4 linked regions of the Lytechinus pictus genome follow. The protein of the gene in region 1 purifies or fractionates together with the protein of each later gene. This does not show direct contact. Links are inferred from orthologs where the notes say so. Each region holds a gene or a part of one and is shown on either strand. Other genes may lie near its edges. The genes, in order: splicing factor 3B subunit 1-like, THO complex subunit 1-like, small nuclear ribonucleoprotein Sm D3-like and U5 small nuclear ribonucleoprotein 40 kDa protein-like.

What was found.
Region 2: the proteins of splicing factor 3B subunit 1-like (region 1) and THO complex subunit 1-like purify together in Homo sapiens (co-immunoprecipitation; 4 studies listed by BioGRID and IntAct, with this or other methods). This does not show direct contact. The link is inferred for Lytechinus pictus from reciprocal best matches to the Homo sapiens genes SF3B1 and THOC1.
Region 3: the proteins of splicing factor 3B subunit 1-like (region 1) and small nuclear ribonucleoprotein Sm D3-like fractionate together in Homo sapiens (co-fractionation; 4 studies listed by BioGRID and IntAct, with this or other methods). This does not show direct contact. The link is inferred for Lytechinus pictus from reciprocal best matches to the Homo sapiens genes SF3B1 and SNRPD3.
Region 4: the proteins of splicing factor 3B subunit 1-like (region 1) and U5 small nuclear ribonucleoprotein 40 kDa protein-like purify together in Homo sapiens (co-immunoprecipitation; 3 studies listed by BioGRID and IntAct, with this or other methods). This does not show direct contact. The link is inferred for Lytechinus pictus from reciprocal best matches to the Homo sapiens genes SF3B1 and SNRNP40.

Annotation. Positions count from the first base shown.
Region 1 is NC_087257.1:28,175,201-28,182,631, forward strand, and holds the start of splicing factor 3B subunit 1-like, read right to left. Parts: upstream 3,005-7,431; 5' UTR 2,934-3,004; coding exon 2,903-2,933; intron 1-2,902. UniProt on the Homo sapiens protein: Component of the 17S U2 SnRNP complex of the spliceosome, a large ribonucleoprotein complex that removes introns from transcribed pre-mRNAs.
Region 2 is NC_087261.1:24,315,190-24,322,259, forward strand, and holds the start of THO complex subunit 1-like, read right to left. Parts: upstream 3,004-7,070; 5' UTR 2,751-3,003; coding exon 2,697-2,750; intron 5-2,696; coding exon 1-4. Other genes in the region: uncharacterized protein LOC129279903, read left to right, coding at 3,083-3,139. UniProt on the Homo sapiens protein: Component of the THO subcomplex of the TREX complex which is thought to couple mRNA transcription, processing and nuclear export, and which specifically associates with spliced mRNA and not with unspliced pre-mRNA.
Region 3 is NC_087246.1:7,902,908-7,910,818, reverse strand, and holds the start of small nuclear ribonucleoprotein Sm D3-like, read right to left. Parts: upstream 3,022-7,911; 5' UTR 2,629-3,021; coding exon 2,319-2,628; intron 1-2,318. UniProt on the Homo sapiens protein: Plays a role in pre-mRNA splicing as a core component of the spliceosomal U1, U2, U4 and U5 small nuclear ribonucleoproteins (snRNPs), the building blocks of the spliceosome.
Region 4 is NC_087245.1:8,205,495-8,213,085, reverse strand, and holds the start of U5 small nuclear ribonucleoprotein 40 kDa protein-like, read right to left. Parts: upstream 3,001-7,591; 5' UTR 2,626-3,000; coding exon 2,509-2,625; intron 1-2,508. UniProt on the Homo sapiens protein: Required for pre-mRNA splicing as component of the activated spliceosome. Component of the U5 small nuclear ribonucleoprotein (snRNP) complex and the U4/U6-U5 tri-snRNP complex, building blocks of the spliceosome.

The sequences.
Region 1 (7,431 bases):
GATCTTACTCAATAAATTTGATCAAGATACTGTGATGTAGCAACAATTTATCAATGGCACCATGTGGAAAATTGTTCATCTGCCACCCTTTTTGCATACCCAACTACAACTTATCATGCAACCCCATAATATGTCTGCCAACTATGCACGGACGAGTCCTGGACCTGGGCTCCGGCCTGCAAACTGGGCCGCAGCTCCCTGGTTTACAGCTGGGCAGCCTGGGCTGGCATTGGCCAAGGCGCGGCGTCTACTCGACACAATCAACATTCAAAAATGAAAAATGGCCAAATGATCAACATTGACAATCAATAGTATGGTAGTAGGGGGTCCTAAAGCTACACACCACTCATCGCACATGCAGTTTGGCAAATGCGCACTCTGCGTGTGGAACTGACTGCAGGGTGACGAACAATTTTTTTTCAACAGAGGCTGCAGTAAATCTCTAAATGCAGAGAAAACCAAGAACTGTTTGGAATTTTGGAGTTATACTCACTTTAATGTCATTTTATCCTATAATAATGTTTTAGAAATTGAGACACAGGAAATAATATTTTTTGCATGATAAATCGAGTGCGTAGCTTGGGTGTCTGGAGAAAAAAATTATTTTTCTTATTTCAAGAAAATATCACATTTTCTTTGCGAATTTGAAGAGAAATGACCTTCAGACTGACAGAAATGTAACATTTTTGAAAAAAATCAAATTATTGGCTGCAAAAAAAGAAGAATGAAATTAGGTCAATTTTCAGCATTTCTCTGCCATAGACTGTGTAGTTAAGAAATGGACACACACAAATCCAAATTTTTAGCTTCCGAGATGTTATTAATTTATTATTAATGCCAAAAACTTGTCCTTAAAGAGTCCAATAGGATTTTTTATGCTCTATCTGATGGTATGATTTTTATAAAGATTTGGAAACCAGATCACAATGAAAAATTGCGACAAAGTTAAAACAGAAATTTCATTTTCCCATAGAAAACCAGAGCTGCCAACATTGGGATGATAGAATCCAGAAGATTTCGCGGAGGTATGATTTTGTGAGGGAGCGCGCGGCGAAATGTCCCACGGACGGGAGTTTTGGGTAGCAAAACTCATTAAGAAACAACATTTGATAGTATCCGACAGCTGTCTAAACCATCAAAACTTTTGGCACATAGATTAAATGCACATTAGAGAGATTTCATGAAATGATGAATTGTCTGTCATTGACTAAAAAAATAAGTTCAAGCCTGATTTCAGGCAATACAGTAGAACATAAAATGATTCACAAAAGAATGCGTTCAACAAGAAAATACCTTTATTGTCCAGAGGGGAAAAGGGCTGCAGTAGTGGAAGATGAGCTTGCCTGGCCCTGTAAAGACTTATATGTGGCCTGTTTTAAAGTCTGAGGGCCGAGGGATTCCTGTGAAAATTGCCTTTTTGTAGCAAGCACGCACAGCCAGCCAGCGCCAGGCTAGCTCACTCACGAAAGAGAAAATGTTCGAATCCGATCAACCCAAGTAAAAGTAGGCAAAAAAAATCTCCACTTTGCTTCTGTTCTTCAGGATTGTCAATAAAATTATTCCTAAAAGTCAGGGTGTAATTATAATAGTAACCCATCGTTGATCCACAGTTTCAGCTCGAATAAAGCGCACACAAGCTTCCGAAAAATACATCGGACTTCCCTTTTCGCATAGCCTCCTGCCGGAGACCAGGCAGTGCCGCGCCGGGGCGCGTCGGGGGGCATAGGCATGGAGTGCCGCTAAAGTGTTTCCATCATGCACATGCACATTGCAGAACCAGAAAAAAAAATTGCTTGTTAGACTAATTCACCAGTCGTTCGGTAAAATTATCTTCATTTACATTGGAAATCAATGTACGATTATACAAAAACTGGTAAAAGTAACTGGGTAAAATGAAAATGTGATAAGGAGTTTCCACGTGGGTGTAAAACTAAAGGGAGTTGAACATGCTAGACTCGTAAAACAGTCGTTTGTATGAATTTTACAATTTAACAGCTAAAAATCACAATTATCCGGGAGATTTTGGCATGGGGTCGGGAGAACGGGAGATTGGATCGAAATCCAGTATTCTCCCGCAGGATCCGGGAGACTTGGAAGCTCTGGAAAACGCATGGAGAAATGGCAATCTCAACACACACAAAAATAAGGTTTTGCAATTTATCTCTAATTCCTTATTTAAAATGATCATATAAACTTGTCCTTACTGTCAAAAGAAGCCCCTCAATTTTCTCTTTCCATACATGCCAAACACAAGTTAATAATAATAATCAATTCAGATCACATTTTTCTAGTAGCCTGAACTTCCCCGAAAAATGTGCCATATTTTCCCCTAAATCAGCCTGTTTTATGCTGACACTTTTCAGTGTGGCTTCAGACACTAGCTTTAGGACCTCTTCTACATTCTGAAAAAAACAGCCATTGGCATTGCCATTGACATGATTGACATGACAGACAGGCTGACAGCGGGATTTTCGTATTACGTGAGTTTTGCAAATTTTTATTCTTGTTTATTAATGATCTTTAGAATGTTTGCCACAAATTAGTGAAATATAATTTGTTCAAATATTAAAATTGGCATAGTTTTTATCGTTTGAAAACAAAGTGCGTAGCTTCCCCCCCCCCCCCCCATCATATCACACAGGCCATGTACCAGTGTGTACCCATACATAGGCCATACCGTATATGACACCACACGAATCAGTCAACACAAATGACAAAATAAAAAAAATAATCACCCAACTCTCGTCGTCAACAACACTGATAATACAACATAAACAGACAAGTAAAACATATTTTTAAACATTCAAAATTGTGGTCTCAAAATCTATGATCATTCTTCTTTCAAATTTGTATCAATAGAGTGAATCATGGCACCAAACAAGAAACATTTCAAGAGTCATACCTTCACGCGTTGCATACTCTGCGGCCGCCATGTTTGATGCTAAATTGGACCTACACGATTTCCGTGCGCGCGTGAACGCGCTCGTCAAGCTAGCTTACGAACGCGCCGTGCGACCTTTGCTCGTGACGTGACGGAGCTGAGGGCTCGGCAGGATCGAGGTAGTCTACAAATGAAGACCCACATCTGCAGTGTGTGTACCACACCTGATTCAACGAGTCTGCATAGCAGACTAGGTCTACTGTGGCTGGCTCGCTTCGCTCGCCATTTCAGGCTGGTTTGCTTGCTTCGCGCAAACCAGCAGCAGCGCGCGATCCCACCTCACCAGCCATTCAGAGTCTGCATAGCAGACTAAGATCGAGGTGGGGGCGCTTACTGGGGAGAAGAGAAGAGAAGAGAAGAGAAGAGAGGAGAAGAGAAGAGAAGAGAAGAGAAGCCGGAAGAGAAGAAAAGAGGATCGAGAGGAGAGGAGAGAAGAGAAGAGAATTAGAGAAGAGAAGAGAATTAAGGGAAAAGAAAAGAAAATTCAGAAAAGCCAGGAGAGGAAGGGGAGACAAGAAAGTGAGAGGTGGGCATAGTTTTTTTTAGGTCGACTATCGTGTACTAGTATTTAAAGGAAAATGAAACATTTGGAACAAGATAGCTTGTGTGAAAACAGACAAATCAAAGAAACAGATCAACAAAAGTTTGAGAAAAATCGGACAAATAATGAGAAAGTTATGAGCGTCATTGAATATTGCGATCACTAATGACATGGATATCCTCACATTGGCAATGCGACAAAGATGTGTGATGTCACTTGTGAACAACTCTCCCCATATACATTTCACTAAAACTGCCTCTTTTTTCACATCTATCAGTAGAGCATATATTCTTTCTATGGGAGGGCATATAATACATATTTTTAAAGAATACATCATGGATAAAGAGTTTGTATCACCATAAGAAAATTAAAAAAAGAGACATTTTGGGGGTATTTTATAGTCCATCAAAGGGAAAGTTGTTCCGTGACATCACACATCCTTGTAGCATTGCCAATGGGAGGTTCTCCATAGCATTAGTGATTGCAATAACTTTCTCATTATTTGTCAGATTTTTCTCAAACTTTCTTTGTTCTTATTCTTTGATTTTTCTGTTTCGACACAAGCCTACTTGCTCCAAAGGTTTCATTCACCTTTAAAGTAGATCAAATTCTACTATAGCACTGTAACAGCTAAGCCTTAATGAATTGATCACCTCAAGCCTTAGCTCGCTCTACTCAAACCTCAACAGGTAACCCATAATGCAACATTCTGAGCAGTGTAGTCTTGTAATATAGACCGACTTGAACGATATGCTAATCCCGGAATGCTAATTCAATATACTCGATATATACGTTCACAATACCGCAGTGATTATGCTATATAAGTAGCAGAACATGTACGTTCCTCTCAAAAGCAGTTTATTTTCCCTTTAAAGGTATTGTTTAACTTTGTGTTTGTGCTTTTGTCATTACCATGGTTGATTGTATATTGTACATTTTTTATTGTTGTGTGTATGGACCCCTACGAAAAACAGCACTTGCTGATAGGGTGTTCCATCCCACAAGTGGTAAATAAATAAATAAAATAAAAAATAAAAACTTTAATTGTGAGCAGCCGATTTAAAAAATTCTCAAACCAAGATGAAACATGTGTACAAGTGCATGTATTAGAACTAATAAACCCTGAAAACAACCATTATTGAGAATGAAAAGCTAAAACTACAAGGCAAACCCCGATTTTGTAAATAGGCGTCTTATAGACGCCTAAATAGTACACATAAGTGTATGGGATGAAATTAAGATGGTTTTTTTCGGTCACTTTATATTTAAATTTATGTAGCACTAAATAATTATTTTCGAACGCAATTTTTTCTGGGCTTCATTTTTGTAACATATCACAGACACAGGTGAGAATTAAGTGTGACCTTCTAGCTCAGATTTTTTAAAAGTCAAACCAATGTTAAACAATCACTTTAAGTATAGGTTAGGTTATTCTCTGTAAGCCTATATATTGGTAATTGTTATCTCAAAACGTATATCTTAAGACTAGCTAATGAGAGCTCCCCTTCAACATAATTATGATGCATCTGAGCATCCAATCCGATTCAAGCGGATTCAAGCTCGTATAAGCACTTTTATAAAGATTCAACTAGTTGTTGACAAGAAATAGTCTCAAAATGCATTTCTTATTTTACGGGCACTATTAATGGAGAAAATAAAGAATGCCTGACTTATTTTTTTTTTTACAGTGTAGCATATTCTATCCTGAAAAGGCTGTAAAAATACAGAACAGGCTGACGAGGGGTGTTTGAAAAATCCATGAAATCCCACAAGCTTCAGGGGTTCTGAAGCGGGGTATAATAAGAATGGGGGAAGAATTATAATTTTTTTTGTTCAGGTCACTATTTAGAATTTTTGTTCGCGCTTCGCGCGTGCATTATAGTGTTTAATGAAATCCATATCTTGTTCATGATTATTAAATGGTGCTTAAACTATCCGGCTTTGAAGTCTACACTGTTAGAAAATTTCTACTTAAAAAAAACAAAAATTCCTGCAGCAGAGTCTCGAGAACACCTGTATGTTACTGCACTGTGTAATATTACATGCATTTTGTGTAAAATTACAGAAAATAGATATTGGTGTATGTAACCTTACAAATTTATTGTAATAAAACTGTTTTCCCCCTTTTTAAAACAGACCTGTTCTGAAAAATTCTATAAAAATTGTATAAAATCTTTCCTGTTTTAACAATTATTGGTTACTTCTTTTTGTAAAATCTGTTTTTATTTTTTCTTATGTAAAATCTTCTGTTTTTCTAACAGCGTATGCAAAAAAATTTTTTTTGCTATCACACAGTGTTGTAGTGTCATGATGCTTGGCCTTGGCCTTAAGGCCTACTTTTTCAAAGCCTCGGCCTTGAACATTCAAGCCTTAGCCTTGAGAGGGCCTTGACCTTGGCCTTGAGGATTTTGAGCCTTGAAATTTCAAGGCATTTTCAAGGCATTTTGTAATTTGTACTTTTATTTGTTTTTATATAAGTAATTATAAATGCTTAAAATTTTCTGTATATTTAATGACACTAATGGTCAATTCTACCAGTCAACAATAGCAGTAGCAGCAGCGGTAGTAAGTGTACTAGCAGTGCCATCAATATATTTTTACAATTATCAAGAATCATCAACACATTATATTACAAAGAAAACAGCAGTGATGAAAAAAAAATTATGTGTTGTAATCTTGACTAATGATGATAATGACAATATTACTAATAATGATGATAATTATCGTAATAATGATTATGATAAAGATTATAGTGATTTGATGTCAGGAAGAATTCTGACAGATCTGACTGCAATTTTGACAACAATTTTCATACAATTTTTATAGCTAATTCTGAAGAATGATAACAAGGTTGATTTCTATTCCATTAGGATTTTCCTCGTATTATTTTCTTTGGTCTTTAATTTGGTAGTATTCTTTATTCCGGTTTTTTAGGTAAAAAAAAACAGTAGAAGATACAAAAAATGATAATTGAAATTTTAAAGTGGTTGTAAGCAGAAAAAAACATGAAAACTGACAAGAGTCCTAAAACTGACTAATTTTCAGGTCAGCATCTGAAATTTTCAACTTGCGCTTTGTGATCTCTTGCCCCCCCCCCTGAAAAGTTCCATGTAGGAAAAAAGGCCCCTTTTCTAAATCGAGAAATTCCCTTTTTTCCAAATGAAATGTGCCCATTTTCAAAAACATTGAAAAGAAATACCTTTTTTAAATAGAATTTATAGTAAAACATAATACATTTTAAGTTAGTAAATCAAAAATTTGGGATCGCACTCGCATCAATTATTGTTTAGTATGGTATTAATACTAGTAATCCTGTTCATGGTTACAAAAATGTTTATGATTTCCAGTTTTCAGATTGGAATATCACAGATCTTTGGCTCGTGTTCTGCACTCGCATTAATTGTTAAGTAAGGTACTCATTCTCAGCGGCGTAACAGGGGTCGGTGGCCAGGGGGGGGGGGGGGCAAGAGCCAAAAATTTCCCGGTCATATCATGGAACAGGCAATGGCGTCATAAGGCAAAAAATTTGAGGGGGCGATATGGCGTATCGGGCAAATATACATATAAATAAAAGCGAGCGAGCGAAGCGAGCGAGCAAAAATATTTTGACATTTTTATTGCAAAAATCCAATTTTGTGATAGATTTTTACATAATGTTAAAAAGATGATATCATATTTCACCCTCTCTTTTCCTTTTCTCTCTTTTTTGTACGCCACGGTGAACAGGATTTTTGTTATGATTGTGAGCATCAGGGCGAAGCTCTACATGCTCGAGGGGGCCGAGTATGGCGCTTCTGGCAAGAAGTAGCTTAACATAGGTCCCGAGCGAGCGAAGCGAGCGAGATAAAAAAATCACCTTTCATGAGAATCTAACATGAAGATAGATTTTAACGTGATATTCAGAAAAATATAATACACTTTCCTTTCTTTCCTCATTTTTTTTTGTTTG
Region 2 (7,070 bases), on another chromosome or scaffold:
TCGACTACAACAAAAAAGAAAAGTTATTAAAAAAGCATTAAAAAAAAAATAGGGGTCTAGCATGAAATAAAAAATGAAGAATGAATTTTTTTTCAAACTTATAACAGTTTTCTTTACATATAACAGTAGTACAGCTACAGATAAGAAGATAACCACATAATGAAATATAACAAGAATTAGACTACTATCAAATATTATACTTCATTTTCAATGAATGTGGCCATAAAAAAATTGTTGTCACCTCCAATCCCAAGGCAAACTGACATTTGACAAATTCAAAGAGACTGTTCTCTAATGTATGGTGTCTTTTCTATCATGTAGCTTTGTGAAATAGATTTCAGTCTGCTGAAAATAATTGAGCCGCCTACAGCTAGAGGCATAAAACACTCCTGACAATGACAAGAGCCTGAACAAAAAGGGGGGAACAAAAGTAAAAAGTATCAAAAGACGACAAAAGCTATATAAAAAAAAAGTACAAAGACAGTCATGACTGTAGACCTCTACTAGAACTCTTGGGGGGGGGGGGGGTGTTTCACAAGATTTAGCATGACTTAGACTTAGAGTCGCACTTAAATGCCTAGTTGCGTGCGGTATAAAAGGCATAACCACATTGGTCAGATCATGCAAAGAGGAGGTGCACTACTGCTTATTGATCAATTACTGAATTAGATTGCGCGCGTTTAATTTAGATACGTGTTTGCATTTAAGTAGATCCTACTTGCAATTGTTAAACATCCCCTACATGTACTACTTACTGCTACTGCTTAGTGTGTCATGTGTGCATATTAATGCAGTGTTGGTATGTTACTATGTAGTCACAATGCAGGAGGCTCCTGGAGAGTAAAAATCTTTCTACTAACGTAGGCTTACTCTGCACGGAGCCAGGGATTGCGTCCCATTCATGCGCGTGTACCGCAAAAAAAAATAAAACTTTCGCCCCAGAAATTTCTACTTTCTTTCTAAAAGATCTAGCCCTAAATCATGTAAATGAGATACAACTTCAGTCTTCATTTCCGACATTTCTACGATATTGATTTCATTTTTAAACAAGTATTCATTAAAAATCAAGAAAAATATTATGAAAAGACTGGGAAAACTTGCCACCGATATCGCGATATGCGTGCTGTCATCTTGGCGAATGACAAAGAAAACAAGATGGCCACGTAAACACGGTGGCAAGTTTTCCCCGTCTTTTCATAATATTTTTCTAGTTTTTTTAATGAATTCTTGTTTAAAAATGAAATCAATATCCTACTCGTAGAAATGTCGGAAATGAAGTTGGACTTGTATCTCATTTACAATACATGATTTAGGGCTAGATTTAATCGTGTAGAGTTTTAGAAAGTGCAGATCCCTCCATCTAGGTCATCAGAATACCCATCATCAGTATCATCTAGATGGAGATGTGCTGGAGGAAGTTTCGGAGGAAAGAGACTTGGGAGTCATTATGGACTCTCAACTGAAATTCCATTCCCAAGTAGCCAACGCAGTCTTGAAAGCTAATCGTGTGCTTGCTATGATTCGACACACTTTCTTGCATAGAGACAAAGAAAACATCAAAAGGTTGTACAAGTCACTCGTGAGACCAATTCTTGAATATGCGAATGGAATATGGTACCCAAGATATGCTTCTGACTTGAAGGCTATTGAGAAAGTCCAGCGACGAGCGACCAAGCTAGTACCAGCCCTGAAAGAAATGGACTATGGTAGAAGACTGCGTGAAATGAAATTACCCTCCATCAAGTACAGACTGCGCAGAGGTGACATGATACAAACCTATAAAATAATTCAGGGCATTGATGATGTGAATAGAGACCTATTCTTCACAACAGCTACCACTCAAGCAACGCGTGGCCACCCTTACAAGCTATTTTTGAAAAGGAGTAGACTGGCAGTGAGACAAAACACCTTCAGTGTTAGAGTGGTTAATGACTGGAACTCTTTGCCTACTGAGGTAGTCACAGCATCAACAATCAATGGCTTCAAGACAAAGTTAGACAAGTTCTGGTCTGCGTGGCATTAATTATGTTCACGCATGGGAATAGTGCCTTTTTCATTTCAATACATTGGCACAGCACATTGCACAAATAGCAGACTCAGTTTTTCGAACTTATCCAAGCTAGGAAGACAACAAGATAGACCTGGAAACTTGACTGCAGGAACAACTTTATTTTTCCAGTAGATGCGGTATAAAGGTATAAAGTAAAAAACTCTGCTGCAGTCAATGACGATGTGCAGTCTAGTCTGACTCTGGAGACTGGACTGGGGCGAAGCCAAGCAAAGGCCAAAGCCAGGCCCAAGGTTTAATTTTTTTTGCGGTAGGCCTAGGCCTACGACGTTACGTATTACACGCGCATGAATGGGACCCAATCCCTGCTGCTCCTAAGAGAGTAAGCCTACGTTAGAAAAAGGATTTTTTACTCTCCAGGAGCCTCCTGGCTACACGGATATGGCAATAGCCAACAGACAAGTCGGGAAATTAAAGATTTAAACACAACAAATTTTACAATATATGGGACAGCACACAGTGACACTCGCAGACATGACACTCAGAATTTAACAATGGATTTAACAAGATGAAATAAGCTTAAAATGATACAGAGCCAAACTAAAATTTTGATCCAAATGTACAAGAATCAAAACATGAATGATTTTATAGAATAAATAAATGTTTAGATGGTCAGAAAACATCTTACCAAGTATTTTACCCTCGAGGCTTCAAAATCAAACTGTGACTCGGAGGCCGCCATGATTAATTTTATTAGTTTCAGCTTAGGATTTTTGTATTTAAAATAAACGAAGTAAAACAGAATTAAAGAGACCAAATTACCAAAATAATTACCGCCTTTTCGTTGATTTTAAAGAATAAAAACAATCGTTGTTATGAATGTCAGGAATCGGTGTAAAAGATATGAAAATAGAAAATATCTAGTCCCGAGTCAACGATTATGTAATTAAAAGTCTTTTATTAAGACTATTTTATTCATTTCGCAAATTGTCAACACGCTGACTGTCGCGCACTGGCTGTGCATAGACCATAGTTGTGGAAAGGATTTGATTTTTAACATTCTTCCTTACAAGTATGGATTCCAAACTGGCTGCAAAAGTAAGCGGCAACACATCGAATATCAAGTTCGAGGTAAATTTACGTAAAGAGAGCCCAGTCAGCGCCAGGCTGGGCGCTGCACTGGACCCATGACATGCCATGATCCCTCTGGCATGTCTGGCTCTGGCTCTACCGCCCCAGCCCGGCCCTAGCCCAGGGCCAGGCTAGGGCCTAGCTTGACCCGGGGCGGTAGCGCGGTAGCGCGCGCTGGGTGTCCATTGACAGTGTAGGATAGCGAGAGCCTAACTTAGAAAGAAAGAAAGAAAGAAAGAAAAAAAAGAAAGAAAGAAAAAAAAAGAAAGGAAGGAAGGAAGGAAAGAATCAGCCGCCGTGAATGAGTGAAAGAATGAGTAAATCAGTAACTAATGAATCATGAGACATGAGACATGAGTGAAACGAAAGGTGAACATGAATGAATTAAAAAAAATGTCAATCATGAGACATGAGTGAAACGAAAGGTGAACATGATGAATGAAAAAAAAAATGTCAATATTTTTTATTTTGCGTCCTAGCTTGTAGGTCTAGCTTAAATAGAAATTTTGTCCTTTACGTCATATGTCATCCCCTAAAAAAATTAGACTCAATATTGTATGCCACTGGACCCCCCCCCCCCCCCTCCCGAAAAAAAACCTGCAGCACAGCAGAGAGCAATATTTTTGTTAGTCATCCTTCCAACTAATGCAGGGACTCGGTTTTATAATTATAAGGGGAGCAATAAAAAGCTCTCCTAGAACTTTTAAGGAGAGCGGTAGAGGAGCACTTCAAAAAGCTCTTCTTCAACATACAAGGGGAGCTTTTTGCCCAATTAACAAAATGGATGGAGGAAATGTATGTACTATAAAATTACAATCAACAACCAAAGGAAGTATTTATAATTGTTTTACAATGTATTGTAATTAGATTGTGTGTTGTAAAACCTGTTTTAGTTAGGTTTTGACTTTGGCTAAAAGTTAAGTCAAAACTTTTTTTTTTTTTTTTCGGGGGCTCCATTTTAATTTTTTTGTCAAATTTCGGGGGCTCTTTTTAAATGCTACTTTTTTGTATTTTGAGGAATACCTGTTCACTTATTAAGGAATTATTACTTTTTGTTTAATATTGTATGATTTTTAAAGTTATTTATCATGTTTAGAATCTTGGATGTGGGTGTGTGTGGATGGGTGGGTGTGTGTGGGTGTGTGCGTGTGTGTGTGACTGTGAGTTGGACTTGGATATAAATGAATTCAATATCTAATTTCTACTCCATTTATTCCAGTACAATACCCTAGTCGTACAGTACATGTAATAAAGGCCCATCACATACCCTAACTTTTCCTGAAGTTCTTTGAAAACGCAGATCTCCATGAAAATTTAATTTCTCTATGGGGGAGTCTAAATTTGGTGAGAATGTATTCATTAAGAACTTAAATATACATGACAATGAAGAAATCATCAAACTTTATTGGCAGTTTTGAATAATATTCCTGAAATGTAAACTCTGTCTGAAACAGAAAATCACCATCATTGAGGCCTTTACTGAGCGAATTGTCCCCCAGAGCTCTGGCAGAGAGACAGAGCTCCAACTGGCTAGCTAGTAAAAGCGCCAATGCGTGAGCCTGCCGCCGTCCTTGTAAAAAAGATGGAGCTTTGTTTGATGATTTATTGTCTGATATAATACCTCATCCCCTAGAAAAAGAAAACAAATGATTTTTTAGTTATAATTGATAAATTAGATAACTTATTTTGGAAGTTAATAAGCCGTTATGAAAAGCAAAGCCGAATGACAACTCACCAATGCTAGGTTACTAGACTCTGGGATTTATTTCCTGTGTAATTCGAATTATTTTATCACAGAATTGTGATATCTGTAGGGGAAACATGTGCATTCGAAATGGCACACGGTGGTAGTCATAATGGACCCCTATACATGCAACTCTTTCCCGACCGATGCGTTGATTTTTTTTTCCATACCTGGTACCATGTGTATGGAAATACGTGGTACAGAAAAAATAACGCAACTTCGGAATTTGAAACTGCGCTACTCGCTACTTTTAAGGCTTATTCGTGATTTTGAGTGTGGATTTTGGATGGTTTTTAAATGGTAAGCGGAGCTCGAGCATATGGCACTAGTGGGCCGTTGAGTTGTTATCACTCTGCAATAATTTCGGGGGCGACATTCAGATTTTATGTCGCCCCCGAAAGCATGATTTTGGGTGATTTCGAGGGCGACTTTAGGCATTTTCGCGCAGGTCAGCTATCGCGAGGCGCGCTATTAATCGCGCTACCAAAAATGGATTAAGGCGCGCATGTAGCGCGCGATCGCTCTCGCGCGCCTTAAAATCGAGTCCCTGTAATGATTGAACACCAATTGAGATTTGAGACCTGTGATCTCCCACATGGGAGCCTCTACCTTTGAGTTCTCAACACTAAGTGTCTACCGAGGAGACTACTAGGGCGTGAAACAGGCCCAAAACGAACAACAACAAGCCTCTACTGTTCAGAGTTCCTGTCGAGGAAGGCAACCTTGCCCAGATTTGGGTCATGTCTAAGTTACTTAGCCATAAATTATACCATGCTTCTTCTTCTTCTTTGTTGTTCTTCCCCCGGTATTCGAGGATCAGCGGCTATCCGCAGGTTGGTTGTTGTGTTGAAGCAATTTCTCTAAGCGAATATGATGAATTTTAAGAATGTATCTGAGGCAGTGGGTCATGACATTGGCAGCAAGAGTGACAGATAGGTGCGAGGAGGGTAATAAGATATTAGTGGCAAGGATGAGGGGATGAGCAGAGGTGAAGGCTAATTGGCTAACAAGCAGGGAGGCTTAGAGATGGGACATGTTGAATGAGAACAGACCGTTGGGGTTTGAGAGTTGGGCAGGAAGCAAGGAAGTGGGTGGAGCTTTCTTCCTCCGTTGAGCAAAGTCTACAGGTGGCGCTGGGAGACTTGCCTATGGTCTTCAGTCTTTGTTGTGTTAGGTAGGTGCCTGTCAGAAGTTGGGAGCGAAGTCTTGCAGCAATACGGAGGTGTGAAGGTAGTGCAGGGGGGAATATACTGCTAGGGCTTGGAAACGTTGAACATTGCTTCCAGAAGGCAAGAGTGTGCTTCTCCTGAGTGGCATCAACTAGGCCAGCATTGTGCTTCTTGAAGATGGCCTGGCGGCACAGTCTTTTCCAGGTGAGGTAGTCGAAGCTCAGGGAGCCAGACAGGATGGCAGGCAAGCTGTATTTGGCGATTAGCTGCTTCCAGTAGGAGATGAAAGGGACATCGGCAGCGAGAGCATTTAGAAGTATTCTGTGCTCAAACCTATCGCTTGGTAAAGTAACCAGTTGCCCGAGAGTCATCAAGGTGTTCAGGTCGATCTGCATATAGAGAGAGGGATGATTCCGGTAAGGAGAAAGACTGCCTCGTTTGCTGTGCTTCTGGGGAGCCCTAGGAACTTTTTGAAGAGAAGGGCCTGCGCTGAGTCTAGCTTATCCCTGGACCTCTTGCTAACTCTAATGGCAGCAATGCCATATAGCATCCTAGGAATGCAGTAGGTGGTCCACAACTTGGCAATGGTTGGAGGCCAGAAGTTGTTTCTTGAAGCCGAACCACCTAGCAGAGCGAATATGGAGTTATATCCCTTGGCAATGATGTTCGGCGCAGGATCTTGAGATGTTGAAGATTTGGTGACACCAAGATGGGGATGCTGACTGACTTCTTGAACTTCCTCTTCATTCAGGTACCAAGTGTGCTTGAGGTGGTCTTGCCCATTAAAGACGAGGATTGCACTTTTTGATGGGTTGATCTTGTACTTCCATGTGGTTGCATAGGTATGGATGAGATTCAGCATGCATTGAAGTTCTTTGGCTGAGGAAGCTATGAGGGCCACATCATCAGCTAGAACAATTACCCCAGCATACAGGTTTTGGCAGTGGCATCCAAGATCTTTGTATCTTAGCAGCTTAATCAGGCCATCAATAAAGATGTTGTAGAGAAGAGGGGAGAG
Region 3 (7,911 bases), on another chromosome or scaffold:
GTGGACGAATTTGCCCCCCTTTGAAAAATCCTAGGTACGCCGCTGGCCGTGGGCCTCTACTGAGACAGTCTGAGTACCGTAAGGGCACTAGTATTCAACCCATTTGGAGAATTTCCTCAAATTTATAGAAATATGGAATTTACCTTAATTTCAGACCTGCCTTATTTCCAAGAGCAAATGTTGGTTATTCTTTTTGCATTATTTTTTTCTTCAACCCGTCGACTGTGTACGCGGGCGATCGAATTATACGTCGATGGTTTTTGGCACTAGTATTCAATCCGTCGGCACCAGTATTCAACCTAGCGATGAAAGATGGCCCTGTTTCTCGATCTGCCCACTTGTTCACTGCAACCATCCTGCCTGTGTGGAATCTACAGGTAGGACTATGGCATGCCAATGCTGTACAGAGCACACACTTTAAAAAATCATTAAAATATCACTTTTGTGACCAAAATTACTAATTTTCATACAGTTGCAATTTATTTTTCATTAGTAACTTGGGAATAATTTTTGTATTTACTAGAGCACTCAAAAACTTGAATTTTGGGCATATTTTTGTGTACGCCCTCTTTTGGTGGAAAGTAATATGGCAAGAAAATTTTCATTTTTTTATCTCTATTTTTAATCAAGAAAAAAATAATTTAAAGAATCAAATTTACTTAAGGGCCAAGTTGTATGACGAATAGGTGTAATGGATTTGAGATGAGACCAAACAGGGAATTAGTCAAAGCCAGAGACTTAACCAGTAGAGGCGCACGGCCAATATTGGAGACTGTCTCCAATGTGGGAGATTATCTCCAATATCAGAGACTTTTGTAAAGAATTTGGGTATCCAATTTCAGAGACAGTCTCCAGTTTTGGAGTCCAATTTCCTTTGTTTACATTTGCTGCAAAAGGATTAACTTGGCGGCAAATAAAAATGTGATAAGCAGATTCCTCATGAAAAATTACCCCTTTTCACCGTCTACTTTAAAAATTCACCGTCTACTTTTGTTTTGATAAAGGATTTTTGTTGTCAATCACACACAAAACAAATGGGCTTCTGACCTCAGTGAGACAAAATTTTGGGTGGAAAAAATCATGCTTTTGTTGGTGTTGTTTCTTTTGTCCTTTTGCAAAGCAAGTCTCCAATGTGGGAGATTGTCTCCCCTATTGGAGAGAGTCTCCCATATTGGCTGTGCGCCTCTCATGCCTCTAGGCTCTACTGTTAACAGTTAGGCCTACATCTAGTCTGTACGTCATAGATCTAGTTTAGCAATTTAAACCATTTTGAGATTCACTATCTATCATCACTAGGTTGAATACTACTTACTAGTGCAATTCAGTGCAAAAAAAAAATTGCCAAAAGGTCATCGCCGCATAATTTGATCCTCCGCACAATCGACAGAATTACACTCACAGTCACAGATTGATAAAGAAAATACCGAAAACAGATTAACATAGTCATTACCCTGGCCTTGAAATAACAAAGAAGGTATGAAATTAAGATAAATTCCCTATTTCTAAATATTTGGGGGAATTTGGCCAAATCTTTGAATTATGCCAGGTCGAATACTAGTATGGCAGTGAGTCCAAACTTCGCGCGTGTCCATACTTCGCGGACGGTCATTATCTAAAAAACTAGCCAATATCCTTAAAATCTGACATCATCAACGTGAAAAGCGACCTAAAATTACCCTTTGGTGTAAGTTTCTTTAGGATGAGTTCAGTATTCATGAAAATATTGGCAAAAGATCGGCAAATTTGTCACCGTTAGCGCCCGTTTTTGAAGAAATCTGATATTCTCAACAAGCATCACGATATCACCATTTTGCAAGCAGAAATCATCAAAAATGTGAGTTAAATGTGGTACAAACCAATTCTATAGCATTTTGCCATCAATCTGATATAAATATTTCACTTTTTGAGCTTGAGTTTTTGTTTAAATGTCCACAAAAACTTTGGTCCGCGAAGTTAGGTCACACTTTTTCTGAACGTTTTCCAGTACAGCGCGCATTCGCCGATCAGAATAGAATTTTGAGATCGCGATACTGGCGAATTCCCTTGACCTACTTTACATTTTCGTCCATTATTTTATAGTTTACGATCTTGCCGTCAATGTGGTAACTATTTTTTTAATTGGTTTTGTATAATTTATGAATATTTTGTGAAAAAATTTAAACCTGATGAATATTTTTGAAAAGTGCGCGAAGTTTGGACACCCCATCATAGTGCCCATACGGTACCCTCGGCCTCGCCTCGCCTGGCTGAGCTGAGGTAGGGTTGACCGGTTACACCATACAGAAAAATGTCAATTGATTTTACATTGCAAAACGTACCCTGGGCTCTCAGAATCGCAGACTTTCCTCGTCCTGCAGATCCCTTAGATCCGGCTTTCTTAAACATGGGAGCATTCTTCAGCATATCAGGCAAGATGAAAAATCTAATTTTGCTTCCCCTGATATAAACATGCTCAAGCTGTGCGACTCGTCCGTCGCGATAAGTGACAGTTATGTGCATCATTTGGCAGTTCATGTTGTCTTCGGCTTCGATGAGCTTTCCACGGTAGACTTCACCTGTATTCGTCTCACAAGTGATGATATGTCCCTCTGCCTCGTGTAAAACCTTAATAGGTACACCGATCGACATCTTTTATTTCGATTTCAAGTATTTCTGGATGAAAATAAACCTCGATTACGTAGATTTTGAGCGATTGTGTAAATAATTCTGCTTTCTGTCGACCGTACCGTGAAAGTGAGAACACAATAATAAACAAACGTACCGCCAAGTTGCCAATTTGATCATGATAAAGATTGATAAAGATTGAGCTTGTCGAGCTATCCAACTCTATGAGCTATTCAGAGAAAGGGCTATTTTATTTAGAGATGACTGCCAAAATAAAATGAAACCAAACTATGTTTAACATTGTGTGGTTCGTCGTTTATCAATATTCAGTGGAATCATATAAGTATGTTTAATCTAATGAATAATAGACACAATTCTAAATTGATGGGCTATCGCTATAGTGACTATCGCTATACTGACTATCGCGATAGTCAGTATACGTGTTCACACGAGACTAGAAGATAGCAATAAAGACATAGAAAAAAAAGAATTAAGGGAGAAAGAGAAATAAATTAAAAGAAAAAGAAGAGAAAATAAAAGAAAATGGAAAAGAAAAATAGGGGAAAATGAAAGAAAAACAATCATATGAAAATATTGGAGGCGCGATAGCTCAGTCGGTAGAGCGGGGGTTTCGGATTCCGGTGACCCGGGTTCGATTCCCAAGTGGTGCGCTAGTGCCCTTTGGTAAGGCATTTATCCTCATTACCAGGTCCCTCGGAGAGGACCTTAAGCCGTTGGTCCCCTGGTTGCTTGTTCACAGGCATTCGTGCTTATTTAGCAGTCAGGTAAAAAACCTCGATATAAGAAGACAAAAATGAAGGAGAAATCGAAAGAGAAATATAACTCGATATATAAAGGAAGCTTTTAAATCCATTTTAAAAAGCTCCAAGCCAGGGGAACATAATATAGTTCTTTCTGCATGACAATAGTTGCCAGCCAAATTAATCAAAGACTGAAAGCTGTTTTCAATTACAAGAGCTAGATCATGCAGGTACATAAAATAGGCTGTGCCGGGAGGCTGCACATTCATTCACCCATCCATGCATGGATTATACAGGAAAACGGAACATTTGGAACATGATAGCTTGTGTAAGAACAGAACAATCACAAAAACAGATCAACGAAACTTTGAGAAAATTGAATAAACAATAAGAAAGTTAAGAGCATTTGAATTTAGATCATTATTGTAATGTAGAACTTGAATGCCAGAAAGATGTGTGATGTCCAGTATGATAGCTAGAGGTGGAAAAATTTATCAACATAATGCTGGTGACGTCACGTACGTGTGAACAACTTTCCCATAAACTTTTGTATATTAATCTGCCTCTTTTATCACATCTCATAATGACAAGGCAAGTAAAACAGATTTTAAAAGAGAAAGAGCAAAAAGAGATATTTGGGGGTATTTCATAGTCCATCAAAGGGAATTAAAGTATAGTTCATATGTGACATCACACATCTTTGTCGCATTGCCAATTGGAGGATCTCCATAGCATTATAGTGATTGCAATATTCAAATGCTCATAGCTTTTTCTTTATTTTTGACCAATTTTCTCAAACTTTCTTTGATATCATTATATGATTTTTCTGTTTCCACATGCAAGCCCACTTGTTCCAAAGTTTTTGTGCCCCTCATTAATTGAAGAAAGAGCATTATAGTTATTATAGGTGTTTTCTTTGCCTGTATGGGCATGAAGGAGGGAATTGGCTTTCCAAATTTGTTTTTTAGGGGGATATATTGTTCAAAAAATAATGTGGGGGGGGGGGAATAAAAGGAGAATATAACAAAACCATAAAATGACAAAGTTTGCTCATGGTTCATGTTTTAGAATTTGTTGGATCGGATGGTGGTCCGTCATAACCACCGAGTCTCATCAAATTCAAAATCCCATTCTGAATAAGATTCCTAACCTTCACTATTTGCATAAAACAAAATAATGCACAAAGAATATCTAAAGCCAGGAAAGTAGTTCAGGCATCTTTATTTAATTTATTATCAAATAATCTAATTGCCATAATCATACAGCATCCTGTGGAATAGAGAATAGACTAAAATACCACAATATTTCATGTAATTTATGAAGATTATGTTAACAATCATGGATCAGATCACTACCAACTTTGATGATCTATCTGACTTGTCTCAATTCTGTTGTGCATCCTTTGAGATTGGCCTTTCTTAGCCGCTGATCAGGGGCCCGTAACACAAAGTTTAGCAATGATCCTAGATAATTTTTCTACGATTGATTGCATTGACTACAGTATAGATTAAATCGTGAAAATCAAGCGTACGATTAATCGCTAACCTTGGTGTTACGGGACCCAGGAAAATTTTTGAGCTGTCCAAATTTTTGATCTAAAATCATGATTACCACGACCTCAAGATCTGCCACAGTCACAATTATTCCGCGATTGAGACCATGGTTTCCATTGTGGCATGAATTGTGACAGTGTGAAGAACCAAGAAGATTCTATGACTGCATGGATGAGTTCCAACAGGCAACAAATTTATTCAAGCAGCTGTAATTCATTTCTAAAGAAGCACAAAAGAAAGAATGGCAGTCGATAAGAACCTTTTTGAGAGTCCGCCTTCGAAGCCGCCAGTTTCAGCGAAGAAATCAGAGGGGTGAAATTTTACGAATATCCATTTGTATCAATTTCCATTTTTCATATTATTAAACAAACTGAAATTTGAACTCATTACAAAATATCAATAACCAAGCACTATTACGCCGATATATTTGCCCAGCTTATATCAATCAACCTTTAATTAGTGAAAAATGTAAGAATTTGACGTTTACTGAAAACAGATTTTAACACTTTTCCGATCGTTTGCGGCGAATGAGAATTTCAAATGTGGTCAGTGGAATATTGTTATTCATTATTGTATATGCCAGATGAGTGCCCGTGCATGCCCAGTCGAGCAAATTTGAGTCATTTATTGCAGTTTATTTTCGCACGCCTCCGAATACGTACTACACATATAACCAGATCAAGATGCAGCGAAAAAGTAATTATCATCACAATATAGCATGTATCCCTTTATATATGACCTATAGCTGTGGAGTCATGCGAGAATCATTTGTCTACACAATGGGCAAGAGATGTTGAGCAAAGTGCATGCCTGACATACTTGCTGGTGGCGGTTTTTATCCTCGTTCAAAGGGATTTTATTTGCTGTTACTCCATCTCATTGAAACCTCCTTGGAAGAACTAGGTATAACTGACTCGTGACCAGTGGCGTACCTAGGATTTTCCAGGATTTTCGTCAGGGGGGGCAAAAAGGTCTTTCAAGCTCGTCAGGGGGGCAGGGATACATGCATGGGTGGTGGCTCGTACCCGTAGGTACGCTAGTGCTCATGACTATTAAAGGGATGGTCCGGGCTGAAAGTAATTATAGCTTAATAAATAGAGTAGAATTCACTGAGCAAGATGCCGAAAATTTCATCAAAATCGGATAACACTAACTTTGTTATTTGAAATAACAGTTATTGAATTTTAAAGTTAAGCAATATTTTGTGAAAACAGTCGTCATGAATATTCATTAGGTGGGCTGATGATGTCACATCCCTATTGGCGGCGGAAGCCCAAAAAATTGAGGGGGACGACCAAAAAAAAAGAAAAAGGTTATCACCCAAATTTTAGGGGGGACCATCAAAATTTTTTGACAAACACACACAAAAAAAAAAAAAAGTTATTGATACAAAATTTAGGGGGGGGGATCGTCCCCCACCTCAAATTTAGGGGGGGGGGACAAGTCCCCCCCCCCGCCTATGCACATCCCCACTTGTTCTTTTGTATTTTATTATATGAAATTAGATTTATTCAAATTTTTTCCTCCAAGAACTAGAAAAATTGGATTGACAACTGATTTAGTGCATTAGATATTTATTGCTGCAACTTATTTCATTATAAGGGAGACATATTATTCACACAAGTATGAAATAATGAAAAAAATTTGATTTTCTGTAATAACATAAGAAAACGGAAAGTGGAGATGCGACATAATCAGCCCACCTAATGAATATTCGTGATGACTGTTTTCACAAAATATTGCTAAACTTTAAACTTCAATAACTTTATTATTTGTTATCCGATTTTGATGAAATTTTCAGCATTTTGTTCAGTGAATTCTACTCTATTTATTAAGCAGATAACAGGCACAATTAGATATGAAATTATGCACCATACAAGTCAACAGATTATTTCAAAATTGATTTAATGTGATTCACATTTGTGAGTGGATCCTTTCTATGCATCATGATGATAGTCTAATGTCACTTTGAGGGGATCAATACCAGACTTAAGTTCTGGTAATATAATGTTTTATACTCTGCAGAGAGTAGTACACTCTCATAAACATGATTAACATTAAAGATAAGGGGAAAAATAGGTTTGTGGTAAGGTATAGAGCAAAGAATTATCAAGAACTTACAATAAGCTAAAACTGCATTACCTAAACCCAATGGCCCGCATTCTGAAGTAGGGTTTAACTTAGACCACGGTCTAACTCTGTGCTAAAATTATTGGGAGCCAAAATTTCTGTTTATATTGTATATTTCTTATGTTTACTATTTTGTTTCCTTTTGCTTTCATAATGAAGAAAAATCTGTCAGTTACCATTAACAGACAATTAAGAACAATTTGAGTGTCGAATGAGTTAATAAATTGGATGTGTACTGTTAAGGATATGTGCCCCAATTGGCTCTCCATATTTAAACCACAACTTTAAACCAAGGTTTAATTTAAACCAGAGTTCAGAATACGGGCCAATGAGAACAATTCTATGACCGGTTTTCACCAGCATAACTCAGATATGTTAATGTTGATATTGAAATGCTATTGAAAACAATATACATGAAAACATATTTATCTGTTCATGAAAAAATATTTGGAATCATTGAGATACAATCTGAATTGTACATGTACAATTGCAACCGGTCATGGTGGCTCAGTGGTAGAGCGTCCGCCTCATGAACGGGAGGTCATGGGTTCGATCCTCGGCCGAGTCATACCAAAGACTTATAAAAATGGGACCTTCTTCTGCCTTCTTGCTAGGCGCTCAGCATTTAGATTGGAGAAGGGCAATAATAACATCATTATGTTATGCTGGTAGAGCTAACTGAAGTGGTTACCCTGGGAAAATAAAAGATTATTATTATTACTTGTGGCACATGAAAATGACAATCACTGAAAATAATGAATATGAATAGTATTCATGTACAGAAATAGGTAGGGACTAGGGACAGAATTTTCACAATGTAAAATCAAACTCGTCTAATAGGTAAAGATAAAGAACAGTTTTAG
Region 4 (7,591 bases), on another chromosome or scaffold:
AAAATATATATGGAAACTTTTAAATCATGTTTCATTATTTGGAGACTGGATTTGCTTTTGAAAGGGGAATAGGCCTATCATGAATGTTGACTTTTAAATTAAAATGCAAAAATTATGTTGTTTGATTTTTTCACTCAAGATTGTAAGGAAATACATGAAAACTCAGAGGAAATAATTGTTCATTTCCACATGGGTCTAGTCCTGTATTTTTTATCAATCTTTTTTCCCCCCTATTTTTTAAATTTTCCTTTTTTTGCATGAGGGTTGCAGGTGGGGGGGTTGTGTCTCTAACTGGAAAATGGGGATGGGATTTGTACAAGTTTTTGTGTCACTTTTGTTTCTCTTGTTTTTAGTGTTGTTTGGAGCTTTGATGTCTGTTTTTGTTGTTGTTTAGAGCTTTGATATCTGTTTTTTTTTCAGGTTTTTTTTTTAAAGATATAGACCACTCGTTTCCTTTTCTTTTGTCTTCAACCAATAATTTGGTGCCTTTCAAGTTTATCAATGGAGAGATTGGTAAGTTTGGATTGTGAAGTTCTTTTCCACAAAATCTTGCTAATTTTGTTGTTTTGTTTCATAATAGTATGGAAGTATGTCTACATTTATATGCAGTGATTTCACTTTAGAATCTGAATTTATTCATTTTTCTTTTTAAAAAAAAGGGAGCTCAAACAGGGCCTTCATAATATGTATACAAATCTAAGAAATGCATTGAAAACTGATAAAATATATCAAAGCTTAATTAAATTGTAATCAAATGCCCAGGGTCTCTAAAATCAAAAGCTATTATAGGCCTACATGTATAACAAATTGTTGAAACTATAAAATACATAAGAGAAGGAATTGGTGAAACAATCAAATACATTAGAAAATAGCACACTTGTACATTATTTTTAAACCATACAAAATACAAAATGATAATTTTCATGTCAAAAAAGACCCCATACATATATGTATACAATACTGAAGTTGAAAAAAGGCTTGTAATTTATACCTGAAAAACAAAGAAATACATTAGAAATTACAAAAACTATACTTTAAACAATTTCATTAAGAAAATTAGGAAAGATTTCTTTATGTCCCCTCCACTAATTAAAAAAAATACTTCTCCAAAACCCCCTTCTTTCATTCTCTTTATCTTCTTTTTTTCTTCTTACTTTAGCTTGGAACTTGGATTCGAACCTCTCGCTGCAGAACGAAGCATCTCCAGTCTGTCGCCTTACTCACTGAGCTACATGTACCAGGAATTGTTGAAAGCCATGGGTTTCATAACGGTTATCGTGTGTCGGTTATCAACCGATATTACGACTAGTCTACTCTCCAAGAGTATTGGGTATTTATTTTTCTGACTAAATAAACCGATGACATTGGGAATTACACACACTCGAGATTTTGACGGAATAAAGCCACATTTTGGTATCAGGTATGTATCCAACTTTTCCTTCCTAAATCTCTTAGATATATGTTAGATTGAAATTGAAACTTTATTTACCACAATCTTCATAAAAAACCTACAAATCAAGAAGTATAAATATTTCAATAAAATACATTTTAACACAAGTGAGTATATTTAATTCTTGACAAACCTTCTCCATATTTTTTGTTTAATTTTAGGGAAGTCTTGCCGAAAATTATCTCCCACATGATGCTGTTTCGATGCCAACTAAATTTCATAAATTATCTATCATGATCACCATCATTTGGCAAAAACAATGCATAATTGGAATAATTAATTTGAATTAATTAGAAGAAATTATTGTACACATATTAAGAAAAAAATTACAAAGTGACATGATTACACATCAATTGAGCGTTCTTTCACCTTTCCATTCATACCAAAATTACTCCAAAGGGCCCCAAAACAAAGAAGTTAGAGCCTGTTGAAGACTTGGGTTCAAAAGGTCACAAAAATCGGTTATGTATTACATTGACTTTACATTAAGAATAAGACATCGGCCACACATTTAGATGAATATGCGCAACTTAAACTGAAATAACTTTATAATTCCTTGATGAAAATTAGAGTTCTTGGTATCATTTGAAAGGCCTTTTAAGAGTTTTCAAATGACACCAAATTTATTGATATCACTATCAGATAATTTTTTTATTATTTTTTGTCACATAACTAGGCCTAGTTCAAACTGCATTAGCGCCAAGGAATTTCATGAATTTACCGTCATCTGTTGATTCTTTGCACACGTATGTCAAATTAAGGGAGCATTATTTGTATTCAAGTCACCAAAAAAAGCTAAAAGCTGGGCATAGACAAACATTCAGAAACTCTTCTCTCCAGTCATTTCAGAGTCTACCACATAGGAAGCCATCCCTGTTAACGGTGCGTGCAATTAGTATAAACCGCCTCTTCTCTGAAGTCTATCACGATTTCGTGATTGTAATGTTCGCATGGCACGGAAGCTAAATCGCATAACTGGGAATACAGTCGTATGATAGTCATTGTGAGAATGTCGAGTAGTCTATTCTTGCTTACTAAAGAGTAAAGTTAATTCTTACCGCTTGCATGAGAGCATTTTGTTGATTGCTTGCAGCCACAAGTTCATGATGCTTCGATCTTTTAACTGCAACTAAAGCACCTTCCTCTGCTTTCCGTTTGTGGTCCATCACCGGCATGATTTCGAGATGTGCAAATGTAAACTAAAAAAAAATACGGTGGGCCTTCACTGGATCCATGCACCGTGCAAAGTTAGCTGGCTAGATATCATTGTAAGATGGCGCTATAGTAGTTGGCATTCACAGAGATACGATCTTACGGTGTCACGCGCGTAAAACATTCCCCATAGACTTGTGTGTTAAAATGGCACTTCAGAAAAATTCATAAAAAATAAATGTGAAATTAGAGGGTCGAATGTTTACTACCTTTGGATAGGATATATATCTGACATTCCATATCTGACCAGAGAAGGGTATCGTAGCCAGCTCATTTTAAAAATAAATCGCCATTTATGAAGATAACTATATGATGGGATCAAATTCATCAACTGAAACAGTAAAATAGCCCCAATTCTTCCGCCAGTCAAAAATAATTCCAAATCATTGATATATCTTCCCAATTTGGGCAAAGGAAGCTCAGTAGTTACCATTTCTAGAAACAGTGTTAGATTTTGAATCATATTCATACACTTTTGTCAATCAGCAATATTAAATTGAAAAAATTCGAATGGGTTGGGTCGAACGAATATCTTTAGCCCTCCTAATGTAATTAGGCTCATGGCACCTTTATTATATGACCTATGAATTTTATTTTTTTAAATAGCTACTTTGCTATTCTTTTATATCTGTACACTCACGCTAGCACAAAGAAATGCATTGAAAATGCCTATTTTCTATGCAATGACCCATTTTAATGTGTTACTCATATATGTTATATTCACTATATGGATGTCTACATATCCTACCTGCATATAGCCCAACAGTGAATGCAATGACAATATATAAAGGCCCCTGTTCACCTTGTAATATAAAGGTGTATGTAAATTTTGTGTAGATATCAGGATACCAGAACTGCCCCAATTATATAATTACCAGATATACATAAGATTGAATGAGGAAACAATAAAAGAATGAGAACATATTACTTTAGTACATTTGCATTTGACCTATTACTAGTATATCAAAATCTTCCTAGGGCTATTGCCTATCAGATGTAAGAAGGAAGAGATACATAAATAGATAGAAAGAGAGAGAGAAAGAGAGAGAGGGAGAGAAAGAAAGAAAGATAATTTTATAGATGACATGGCTTATAAAGAGGGGGGGGGGGGCTAGACTAAGATTGGAGCACACAGCCACCCCCCCCCCTCCCTCCTTAGTTGAGCACTATTAGATACCTTACCTTACTCTGTGCCTTTTTCTAAATACCTTCTTGAAGGTACCACTCTAGTTCTCTTCAGTAAAGTTCACAAAGTTCTATCTCCTCTCTACCCCATTCCAAAGAACAATTTTAACATGAGCAATTTGTAAAGTCTTTCTGAAAACAGAGGAAGAAGTTCTAACTGCAATATTTTTACCTAATTTTGGGCCATAATACACTGTTACCATGGCAACGCAATTTCCAACACATGCAAAAAATGTGTATTGCACATCTTTACCCCCAAGACCAAAATATATACATACACACCAACATTCAACCCCCTCCACCGCCACCCTTCGGCTTGTTTAGCATCTGCATTCAGATATTTGGTGCATTGAGATGCGAGGACAAACAGAAAATCTGTTCAAAAGGGGTCTGAATTCAAGAACTAAACCTATGCAAAATAATGCACTGCTATTGAGTTTTGCACTAGCGCTAGTCTATATATCAGACCAATCTAAACTCATAAATTCTGACATTTTCACCCATTTTTTCACTGTTCCTGCAGCCAGATTTTTTGGAGCATACCCCATTTTTACTTCTTATACATAAACAAAGGTCTGGAGAAAAAATCATGCTTTTGTCCATCGTGTCCACATAATTTCGCTAACAGACCAGGGGCGGCATTCTGAGGTCATTTTATCTTTAAAATATTTTATTTTATCTCTTAAAATGAAATTGGTATTCTGAGATGACATTTTATCTCTCAGATAAAATTTAAAATTTTATCTTGCGTATAAATTTTATCTTGCGTATCTATGATGATATGCAAAAGAGCAGTGGCTGCGTAGACATACCCATTGCGTATCTGGCCATTGCAACGCGGATGATGTGCTTGCGCCCAAGTTACTTTGAAGAAAAAATAAAATAAACTTAAAAGAGGGTAGGTGCTATTTTATCTCCGCGACGTTGATTTCGTCAATATTTCTAGGTGAATTAACTCCAAATGTTGGCATGAAAATTAAGAAAAATGATATATTCATTGAGAACAACACCATAAAGTTATTCCTGTACAATCAGGAATCATTTCATAAGACTTTTCTTGACTAATATCGTCTTTGAAATGATGCTTTAATAGATGCGATATAGACTTCGAAAAAAAGATGAGATTATTGCCATTTTTGTTTAAAAAAAAGAAATCTCTGTAAAGACGCGCAAGCGTATTGAAGTCAATAAATTGACGCAATCTCACTCCTTCGCCACACCTCCTAGCGGAATGGATTTCCATTGGTTGAGTGATATGAGAGAGCTATAAAAGCGCGTTTCTGATTGGATATTGATTGAAAAATAGGTGTGTCTTACAGAGATAAAATGAAGATAAAATTGTTCTCAGAATACCAATTCGGAGAGATTTTAAGGGTATTTTATCTCACTGATTTTAACGGAGATAAAATATTTTATTTTATCTGAGATAAAATGGATCTCAGAATACCACCCCTTACTACTATGGTTTTACAAGTAGTGAAAAAAGAGGAATTGAAAAAAAAAAACAGAGAGGAATACAAAGAGAGAAGAAAGAATATCATAAAAAAAGGTATTGGTATTTAATTTTCTGTTACGCTGTACTTCAACTGAGAAAAAGATGGGTCATCTTGTCCCCCCCCCCTTATGGAACAAAAACATGGGGTAGCCCTGGCACACATATTAACAACCACACACAATTCACATTGGATAACATTTTTTTTAATAACAAATCAGACCATTCCAATCAGACAATAACTCCACAATCAATTTCTTTATCAATCAAATCAACAGAACACACAAAATCAGAAGGGCACATACTACTACACATTGTGCTACGAATGCATTTCCAAACACCCCCAAACAAAAAAAAAGAGAAGAAAGAAACACATAAACAGGGTCAAATTTCCTCTTTTAAAATGGGGATGCTTCAATTAAGTGCCATTTATGACATCCAGGGTCTAACTTACAAATTCTGTCTTCATTAACTAGGGTTTTTATGCCACTAAATATTCTTGACCTGTGTGATTACTGCATTAACACCATTTTGGGTATGTTTATGATAAATATAAGGTACCAATTTTAGTTTGTGTCATATGCCATTAAGGGCCCTTTTTGTGTTGGTGCCCATTGGTCGCAAACAATATTTGGTGAGTGACCAAATAACATCCAACTGCAGGAAAGAAAGGGGGAGAAGAAGGGGGGGGGGGGAGAAGAAGGGGGGTGAGAGGGAGGGGGGCAGATGGAGGGTTAGAGGGGGGCAATTGGAGAAAGAGAGAGAAAGAAAAGGAGAGCATGGGTAGAATTGGATCTGAATGAAGGCTAAATATAAAAAATGAATGAATAAGTCAGATAGATAGCATAGCTCATCCTACTATCCAGAGTCATACATCAACAACAAAAAGATGGCAGGCCAAAGTTGCTTGTAATTCTTGTCAGTTGTCATACAATGTGTATTTTTCATAAGTCAAAATGTACATCCTTTATTCCACATGAACAATAAACTCAAAACTTTCTGAACAACAAGTCTTTCATGGAAAGCCATTCACAATTTTGAAAACAATAAAAACAAAATGCATGAATGATTACAAATACCACTGGCGTAAATCCGTGAGTCACACCTATTCTTCGGGGGGGGGGGGGGATGGAACAATAGATCATCCCCCCTGAACAACAGGTGTGACGCAAGGATTTACGCCAGTGACAAATACATTTTGCCGGATACCCCCCCCCCTTTTTTTACAACTTTTACTACCTTACTTTGACATAAGGATTCAAGTGACAGTGACATATGATATCATTGAAATATGTTTTAACATGTGAATTTGTTGCTCTCTTCCTTGATATATACAGTATGCAAAACATTCATGCTAGGAATAAGGATGTATTGTAATACTGATCCACTGATCTTTGCGGAAGTGAGGGCACTTTCACTTGTGATTGAAAAAAAATATCACATTGTCACTTGTTTTTTTTCCATCAAAGCAGGGTAAGAAGTTGTATAAATAAGGCTACTTACATTTCAATTTTTAAAAACATGAATTACAAGAAATGACGATTGTAATTTGGACCATATAAAGTGACAAACAAATGAATAAGAGTAAAATGTGGAACTGAACTGGTTTACACCATGGTGAGGAGCAAAGCTATGTTTACATACAGTTCTATCAGAATCTATTGGAACTACTTCAGAATTGAAATGAGAAAGTATCCCAAATTTCTCTATTTTTCTTGCAAAAAGTTTGAAAGGTTTTGAATTATACAACAAAAACAGTACCGGTAAATAAATTTACGACAGTGTTATAAGGTAACTTTAGGAGAAGACACTTGTGGAATTCCTGTGGGAAAAGACGCAGCTCTGAATGGGAGTCAGTTCACATATTTCTGTTCATCTATACAACACTTTGTACTGAAAATCCATTATCGTTCTTTTTCAACTTACAATTAAGGGCTAGAATGAACATTTTGAGGTTTAACTGCTGTTCAATTTTTCCTTAGTCCAATATATACATTTGCCATGTTTAAATCTGTGATGATGTACTTGAAACAGGGAACAGCTGATGAAAGGTAATGTCAACCAAGTAATGATTGAATATGATTTAAATCATACTCATCAAATCCATTTGATCAATCATTGAAATGAAAAATAAAATGAAATTCTTTCATGATCTTGTGAATAGAAAATACAATTGAATTACATGTGATTTGCCAAAATAAATATTTTGAGCAAATGGGTTGACTACGTCCCTCAAACTCACAAAATGTAAT